2 linked regions of the Saccharomyces cerevisiae S288C genome follow. The protein of the gene in region 1 purifies or fractionates together with the protein of each later gene. This does not show direct contact. Each region holds a gene or a part of one and is shown on either strand. Other genes may lie near its edges.

Region 1 (4,871 bases):
GGTTAAAAGCCGGTTGGAGTCCTCCATCAGTGTAAAAATTTTGCAAGAATATTCATTAGATTTTATTAGCTCAAGAGATATTCTAACTTTCTTCAGAATGGGTGTAAGCCACTTGGTAGAAAATAAGATCTTCCAAAATTTCTTTCCAGACCTGTTCTCATCACTACAAAATGACGAGCTGGTGGAAAGTTTTTGGATTAACAAGCCTTTTGGTCTCATAATAGCTTGTCTGGGTATGTCCATTTCGTTAAATCAAGATTCTCAAAAACTATGGTTTATCTGTTGTACGAATTTGTATGCTAGCTCATCTAAACATGACAATGACTTTGACACTGAGGACATTTTGTCACAGACAGAGCAACATGATGTTTTTGCCTTGATTCTATTTTATTCTCTTCTAGTAATGTTGGAGAATAACATTCCTGTTTCTAATTCCATTAAAAAGTTCGATGTGTTTTCAATGCTTCAAGATATTCTGAAGCCATTCACCGTGGCATCCTCCAGTTACCATTATTTGAATAGTAAGGAAAATGCATGGTTCATATTCGATCTATGGGTCAATATCTTGCGCGATTCAAACAACTTCAACAACGATTCTTTACTAATATTTGGTTGGTTCGTCAATCAAGAGTTTATTTCGTCTAATCCACTTAAGGACTTCATATACAAGGGACCGTCAATGTCCACTACTGACTTAACTTTAAAGCATATCAATATTTTGGCAGATTCCGCGTACGTGTATTTTATAATAAAGAAGACTTATCCGCAAGAGCTGCCATCTGATTTTAGAGTGCATGATTTGCTGGTTTACTTGAATGAATGTTTCGTAATGCAGCAGCCGATCAAACCTGAAACTAGTGCAAACCCCTCTTTATTTGCGAACGTTATGAACGCCAGGATTACGGACTGCAAATCGAAAAGTAACTGGTTATTGTGGGAAACGATTTGGTTCGAATTCATCAACAACTTGACTTTGAGAAATGGGACCACAAGGAACATATGGTTCATTGATAACTTTCCACAGGTATCGACCTCGTGCTTACTTCATCATTCTTCCTCATTTGTTGATGAAACCTTGATCACCACGAACTTATCAATCATATCAATGCTTCTTAATTTGAAGTCTTTCACGCTGGCATCTTTAAACCCAAGGAATATTCAGTTAATTACCGACATTGTCAGCTTCCAACTAAAATTGTTTTCATCGGAGTTAATTGCAAGCTCGGATGTTTCACCATCACAAGTATCTCAATTACTAGTAAACCCCAATGTTCACCTAATGTTATATTTCTGGTTCGATACCATTTATGTACAACGTCAGAGCTACCTTTCATCAACAGAGAAAGAGGAATTTGAGAAGGTTGAAGTGTTTGTGAATGACTACATTATAACACACCAAAAGAACTTGGTGACAGACTTACACTCCATTTTGTTCGATTTTTGGTCAGATTCCTTCATTGCTTACCATATACTACTGCATGCTATTGTATCTTCATTAAGAGATAATATTCTTTACCCATACTTAATCTACTCCCCTCACCTGAATGACCAGACGAAAGCATTGTTGACTGATATCTCTAATTGGTCTTGTTTTGCTCTTCAACAGCCGTTTCGCAAGACTTCAAGAGGTTCTTTATCTGGTGCTTCTGATATGAAATCGTTTTCAGTAGCATCATGTTTGCCACTCTCTCCTAATTTCCTAAAGAGAGATTCAAACTGTAATAAGATTCTCCTGCCCCCATTAGATATAAAAGCCATTGAACCTATCTCAACGAGTAATTACACCTACGTGAACTCGGCCCCTAAGCAACAAGAGAAGGAACAACCATTGTTAAGGGCAACAGGAAACAATATCAATTTAGTCCAAACAATAGTGGTCCCACCCCAGGTAAACATGGAATCACAAGAATTCTCAGCTTCTTCAACTGACAATAAACAAAGTAAAAACATTGAAATTTTTAGCCAAATAAAATAATGGCCAAAGAAATGTTGTTAACAACACTAATAACATTAAAGTTTAATACAACCACAAACGATATACATAAATCTACATAATAATTTTAATACTTCCCACAAGTTTGCCTAAAAGTAAATACCATTTTTTGTGTGCTTATTCCGCTGCGATGGTTACTACTACATGTAAGAGGTGCTCAGTAAAAGGAAGTACAAAACGTCTTTCGCGTTTACCTGTGCTCCATGCGCCTTAATCAATACTCTCAAGGCCTTCTTAACCTTGGCGTTTTCTTAAGTGTTCTGTTCACATTCGATAACAAAATTTAGAATGTCTTTTCACCCCTCTTTTTTCTGGTAATGGTTCGAATGTATGCGGTACCTTTTTTTAACAATAGTCTTCAGGGCACCCTTAAAAATGCTTCGATGAACCATTACAGAAAAAGAAAGTAGGGAAAAATGATGTAATTGTATATGTTGTTTAGTTTAATATTTGATAAAAACATATAAAAAGGGCAATCATGATGGCCATCGACGAGTTATCTTTATCCTTTCGTATTGTGTTATGAGACTTTTCATTTAAAATATACTGTAGGTATGACATCACTGAATATCATGGGAAGAAAGTTTATTCTAGAAAGGGCCAAAAGAAATGACAACATTGAAGAAATATATACTTCGGCCTATGTCTCTCTACCCTCCTCAACTGATACACGTTTGCCTCACTTCAAAGCAAAAGAAGAGGACTGTGATGTTTACGAGGAAGGGACCAATTTAGTGGGTAAGAATGCTAAATATACCTACAGATCCCTTGGTAGACATTTAGATTTTTTGAGGCCAGGATTGAGATTTGGCGGTTCGCAATCGTCAAAGTACACGTATTATACGGTGGAAGTGAAGATTGATACCGTAAACTTGCCACTTTACAAGGATTCGCGTTCTTTGGACCCGCATGTCACAGGTACTTTCACTATTAAAAATTTAACACCAGTCCTAGATAAAGTTGTTACCCTTTTTGAAGGGTATGTCATCAATTATAACCAATTCCCGTTATGTTCACTGCATTGGCCCGCTGAGGAGACGCTCGACCCTTATATGGCTCAGAGAGAAAGTGATTGCTCTCATTGGAAGAGGTTTGGTCATTTTGGTTCTGATAACTGGTCGTTAACGGAAAGAAATTTTGGTCAGTATAATCATGAAAGTGCAGAATTTATGAATCAACGATATATTTATCTTAAATGGAAGGAAAGGTTCCTACTTGATGATGAGGAACAAGAAAATCTGATGTTGGACGATAATCATCATCTGGAAGGCGCGTCATTTGAGGGATTTTACTATGTGTGTTTAGACCAGCTAACAGGTTCAGTGGAAGGCTACTACTATCATCCCGCTTGTGAATTGTTTCAAAAACTCGAACTCGTTCCAACCAACTGCGACGCATTGAACACCTACTCAAGTGGATTTGAAATTGCCTAAAGACCCTTATAGAATTACCAATGTATGTTTGTTTACTCGTCAACCATGTCTCTTTTAAAAGCACATTGTTCTTGATATTACATCAATAAGTAAACTAGTAACCCTTTACATATATCCACGTCATGTATGCCCTTTTTGTAGTTCGAAATAAAAACATTTCTATCATTAGTGCCGGTTAATAATTAGTTGGCGATATCCTTGCAATAAAATAAAAATACTTGAATTGATGATTCGTTTACAGAGGCTCAAGAACACTCAGGAAAACATTATTGCTTTAAATTGACATAGTGTTCTTATGGTAGAAGCTTTCTTAATCACCAGCAAAAAATATTTGGTAAGTAAAACGTTAGCGAGGATATGCTGCAACCATCATTGCTGAACAAGTTATTGGCAACCTACTTATGCGGAGGACTAATGATTACTCAACGTTCTTCTTGAGACGAATGATTACAACCTTACAACCAAGATATAAAAACTTTAGTTTAAGCCCAACTTTATTACAATATCCTTAGACGGCAGCTGGCTCGTGGGATTTTTTCAAGTGTTAGTCCGGTTCTGCAACTACTGCTGAATTCGGCTGCATTGAAAAGCTCAAATTAAAATCATCGTCAATTATTCTCATTACTTCAATCTTTGCTAGTACGCCTTTCACATGGCCTGTCGATCCTATGCTCCTACAACTAAAATGTCCTTTACTAACATGATTGCCTCCATTGCTACAATTGCGTCAGCTAAGATACTGCCGTAGTCTACTAGAAAATCATCATTAGTTCACCCGAAATGGCTCTGAGATTATGAATCACTTTAGGATGATTTACACAGAAAGCGCCGTACCGCCTCCGAGACTCTTTCACCCAACTGTGAAAGGAAAAAAAAATGTGTGAAATGAAAAAAAAAGTCGAAATATGAGATGCAAGGCTAAGTTTGATGATAGCCATTCCCAAAAATCTGCATGACTCTTACGGCTATAACATAACTATATATAAAGGCTCTACACCCACGAGCAATCGCCTTTTCATTTGTTTCAATTTTCAAAAAAGGACCGACACAAATCAATAGATAATGACAATTTCGAATAAATCGTGGAGGAGCTACTTCCCACATTTGAGAAAACTACCCGAAGATGATCAGTACTTATACTCAGACGATACTAACTCCAGTATCATAGCTGAAGAGGAGCTACATCATAGCGTAGATAAGTCCTCGAAGACAGACGTTACGGCAGAAACTACAGCTGTAGAACCTCATCCTCACAATTTAAGGCATGACTTGCCATATGAAGTGAGAGATGAAGCTGGGCGTAAATGGTGGAAATATTTTGATGAATTCGAGTATCGTGTTAATAAGGAATACAAGAAATCACGTAAGTGGTACGAGTTTTTGTATCCTAATCATACTACTCAAACCAAGGCTGAAAGACGGCTTCTTTACAAGCTAGACATTAT
Region 2 (3,544 bases), on another chromosome or scaffold:
CCTTGTGGTCGTCATGACAGGTAACTACGGTGCCCCTTCGGACCTCGGATTGCCCATCTGTTTGTTGTTAATCTTTCAATTGATGTTTGCATCGCTGATTGTGATGTTATTAGACGAATTGCTATCTAAGGGTTACGGCTTGGGTTCCGGTATTTCTCTGTTCACGGCAACCAATATTGCCGAACAAATTTTCTGGAGAGCGTTTGCTCCTACTACAGTCAATTCCGGTCGTGGTAAGGAGTTCGAAGGTGCTGTGATTGCCTTTTTCCATCTTTTGGCTGTCAGAAAGGACAAGAAAAGAGCCCTTGTCGAGGCCTTTTACCGTACCAATCTACCTAATATGTTCCAAGTGTTGATGACCGTGGCCATCTTCCTCTTTGTTTTATATTTACAAGGCTTCCGTTACGAATTGCCCATCAGGTCAACCAAAGTGAGAGGTCAAATTGGTATCTACCCCATCAAACTCTTTTATACTTCCAACACCCCAATCATGTTGCAGAGTGCATTGACTTCTAACATTTTCTTGATCTCTCAAATCCTTTTCCAGAAATACCCAACCAATCCATTGATTCGTTTGATCGGTGTTTGGGGTATCAGGCCGGGCACCCAGGGCCCTCAAATGGCCTTGAGCGGGTTGGCCTACTACATCCAACCATTAATGTCTTTATCCGAAGCTCTTCTGGACCCTATCAAGACCATCGTCTACATCACATTTGTTCTTGGTTCATGCGCAGTATTTTCCAAGACATGGATCGAAATCTCCGGCACTTCCCCACGTGACATTGCCAAACAATTCAAAGATCAAGGCATGGTCATTAACGGTAAGAGAGAAACCTCCATTTACAGAGAATTGAAGAAGATCATTCCAACTGCTGCTGCTTTCGGCGGTGCTACCATCGGTGCTCTTTCTGTTGGCTCCGACCTACTAGGTACTTTAGGTTCTGGGGCATCCATTTTGATGGCTACTACCACCATCTACGGCTACTACGAAGCTGCCGCCAAGGAAGGTGGGTTTACTAAGAACCTCGTTCCAGGATTTTCTGATTTGATGTGAATATAAAATGAAAATAATATCCAAAGAAAAAAAAAATCGCATTTAGCCACACCCCTCCCTCTATTTTTTTATTTTGTTACCATAGTTTTATCAACGCCTTCTTACACCTGTATAGAGCTAAATAACTATATATATGTATGCGCAAATAATTCCTAGAAAATCGTCGATTTTTATAAATTCTAACCGCCGATTAACAATATCATACGCGATCTAAATTTATAATAGGCGTGAAGCAAAGGAAGTTGATAAAAAAAAAGTAAAGAACTCCTCATAGGGGGCTCGAACCCCTGACATTTCGGTATCCTTGCTTAAGCAAATGCGCTTAAAAGCCGAACGCTCTACCAACTGAGCTAACAAGGATGAGTTCTTCGAATTTTCCAGTCTAAGATAGACAACCCATCAAACTGCATGGTCCCGGGCTAACTTCTGCTCTCTTTTCCGGACGGATGGAATCGCCGCTTTTGAATTCACCTCCGGGGTATTATTATTATTCTTAGTAGTCGCGGTCGTGCGGACACCCGGAGTTATGCGGGCCCGAAAGCTCATTATGTAGTAAAGCTAGGTAATGTTAAGGGCGTAAGAGCCAACGCAAGGCAGCAATAGCCTGGTATTCCCACATATCAAGAAAGCTTAAAAAGTTGAGACAGGGAATTTGAAGGCGAAGATTGCCGAACTGGCCAATACCCACTACTTTTTTTTTGGTTTGCTTGGTTTCTTCCTGTCGCTTGCCAACTTGTGGCATCTTCCCCACACTATATTATAAGGATCGTCCTATGTATAGGCAATATTATCCATTTCACTCGCTAACAAATGTACGTATATATATGGAGCAACAAGTAGTGCAATTACAGACGTGTATTTTGTCTTGATCTTGCTTTTTGTATGATAGGCCTAAGAATAACAGTGCGAACATATAAGAAACATCCCTCATACTACCACACATATGCCAACTCTAGTAAATGGACCAAGAAGAGACTCTACCGAAGGGTTTGATACCGATATCATCACTCTTCCTAGATTCATAATCGAGCACCAGAAGCAATTTAAGAACGCTACTGGTGATTTCACATTAGTACTGAATGCCTTGCAATTCGCGTTCAAATTTGTATCTCACACCATCAGACGTGCTGAATTGGTTAACTTGGTTGGGTTAGCAGGCGCTTCCAACTTCACTGGTGACCAGCAAAAGAAGTTGGACGTTCTAGGTGATGAAATATTTATCAATGCCATGAGGGCTAGTGGGATCATCAAGGTCCTTGTATCTGAAGAACAGGAAGACTTGATCGTTTTTCCCACAAACACGGGCTCATACGCAGTGTGTTGTGATCCTATTGATGGCTCCTCAAATTTGGACGCCGGTGTCTCCGTTGGAACTATCGCGTCTATATTCAGACTGCTACCAGACTCATCAGGTACTATAAACGACGTACTGAGATGTGGTAAAGAAATGGTAGCCGCTTGCTATGCCATGTACGGATCCTCTACGCATCTAGTATTGACATTGGGTGATGGAGTTGATGGGTTTACCTTAGACACAAACTTGGGCGAATTCATCTTGACTCATCCTAACTTAAGAATTCCGCCTCAAAAGGCCATCTACTCAATTAATGAAGGTAACACCCTCTACTGGAACGAGACTATAAGAACATTTATTGAGAAAGTCAAACAACCCCAAGCAGACAACAACAACAAGCCTTTCTCGGCTAGGTATGTTGGATCCATGGTTGCTGATGTTCACAGGACGTTTCTTTACGGTGGCCTTTTCGCATACCCTTGCGACAAGAAGAGCCCCAACGGAAAACTGAGGTTGCTTTATGAGGCCTTCCCAATGGCTTTCTTAATGGAACAAGCAGGGGGAAAAGCGGTCAACGATCGCGGAGAGAGAATCTTGGATTTGGTGCCAAGTCATATCCATGACAAATCTTCTATTTGGTTGGGTTCTTCAGGTGAAATTGACAAATTTTTAGACCATATTGGCAAGTCACAGTAGTTCAATGATCGCCTTCTTTTCTTATTTTCTTTGTTCTGTACTTTAGTACGCGAAAAAAAAAAATCTGTATATGTCCTTATATATATATATATTTATATATATATATGTGTATGTATGTGTACCGTAAGCATTACTCCTTCTAATAATGAAAATTCTTAGGAAAAGAGAAAGGAAGTAGCGAATGGAATGGGATGGAAGTTTTAAAGAACATTAGAATTTATCCTTTGTCAAACTTCATCACATCAACCAAGAACTATATAAACCTACCAAATGAATTAAGAAACCTAATTAGTGAAGAGCAGGAGAGTAAACTAGGGTTCTTGCACATCATTGAAAGTGATTTTAAACCTTCGGTAGCGCTGCAAAAGTTGGTGAATTGTACTACGGGGGACGAAAAGATCCTAATCATAGATATAGTATCAATATGGTCCCAACAAAAGCAAAGACAGCATGGCGCGATCTACATGAATTCGCTATCTTGCATAAACATCACGGGATTA

The links.
Region 2: the proteins of GID10 (region 1) and FBP1 purify together in Saccharomyces cerevisiae (affinity purification with western blotting, with the first as the bait; one study listed by BioGRID). This does not show direct contact.

What each region holds. Positions count from the first base shown.
Region 1 is NC_001139.9:619,476-624,346, reverse strand, and holds GID10 (Gid10p), read left to right. Parts: upstream 1-2,547; coding exon 2,548-3,426; downstream 3,427-4,871. Other genes in the region: YGR067C (uncharacterized protein), read left to right, coding at 1-1,975; VHT1 (Vht1p), read left to right, coding at 4,489-4,871. UniProt on the Saccharomyces cerevisiae protein: Substrate-recognition component of the GID E3 ligase complex recruiting N termini and catalyzing ubiquitination of proteins targeted for degradation.
Region 2 is NC_001144.5:873,246-876,789, reverse strand, and holds FBP1 (fructose 1,6-bisphosphate 1-phosphatase), read left to right. Parts: upstream 1-1,997; coding exon 1,998-3,044; downstream 3,045-3,544. Other genes in the region: translocon subunit SEC61, read left to right, coding at 1-1,054; PSY3 (Psy3p), read left to right, coding at 3,236-3,544.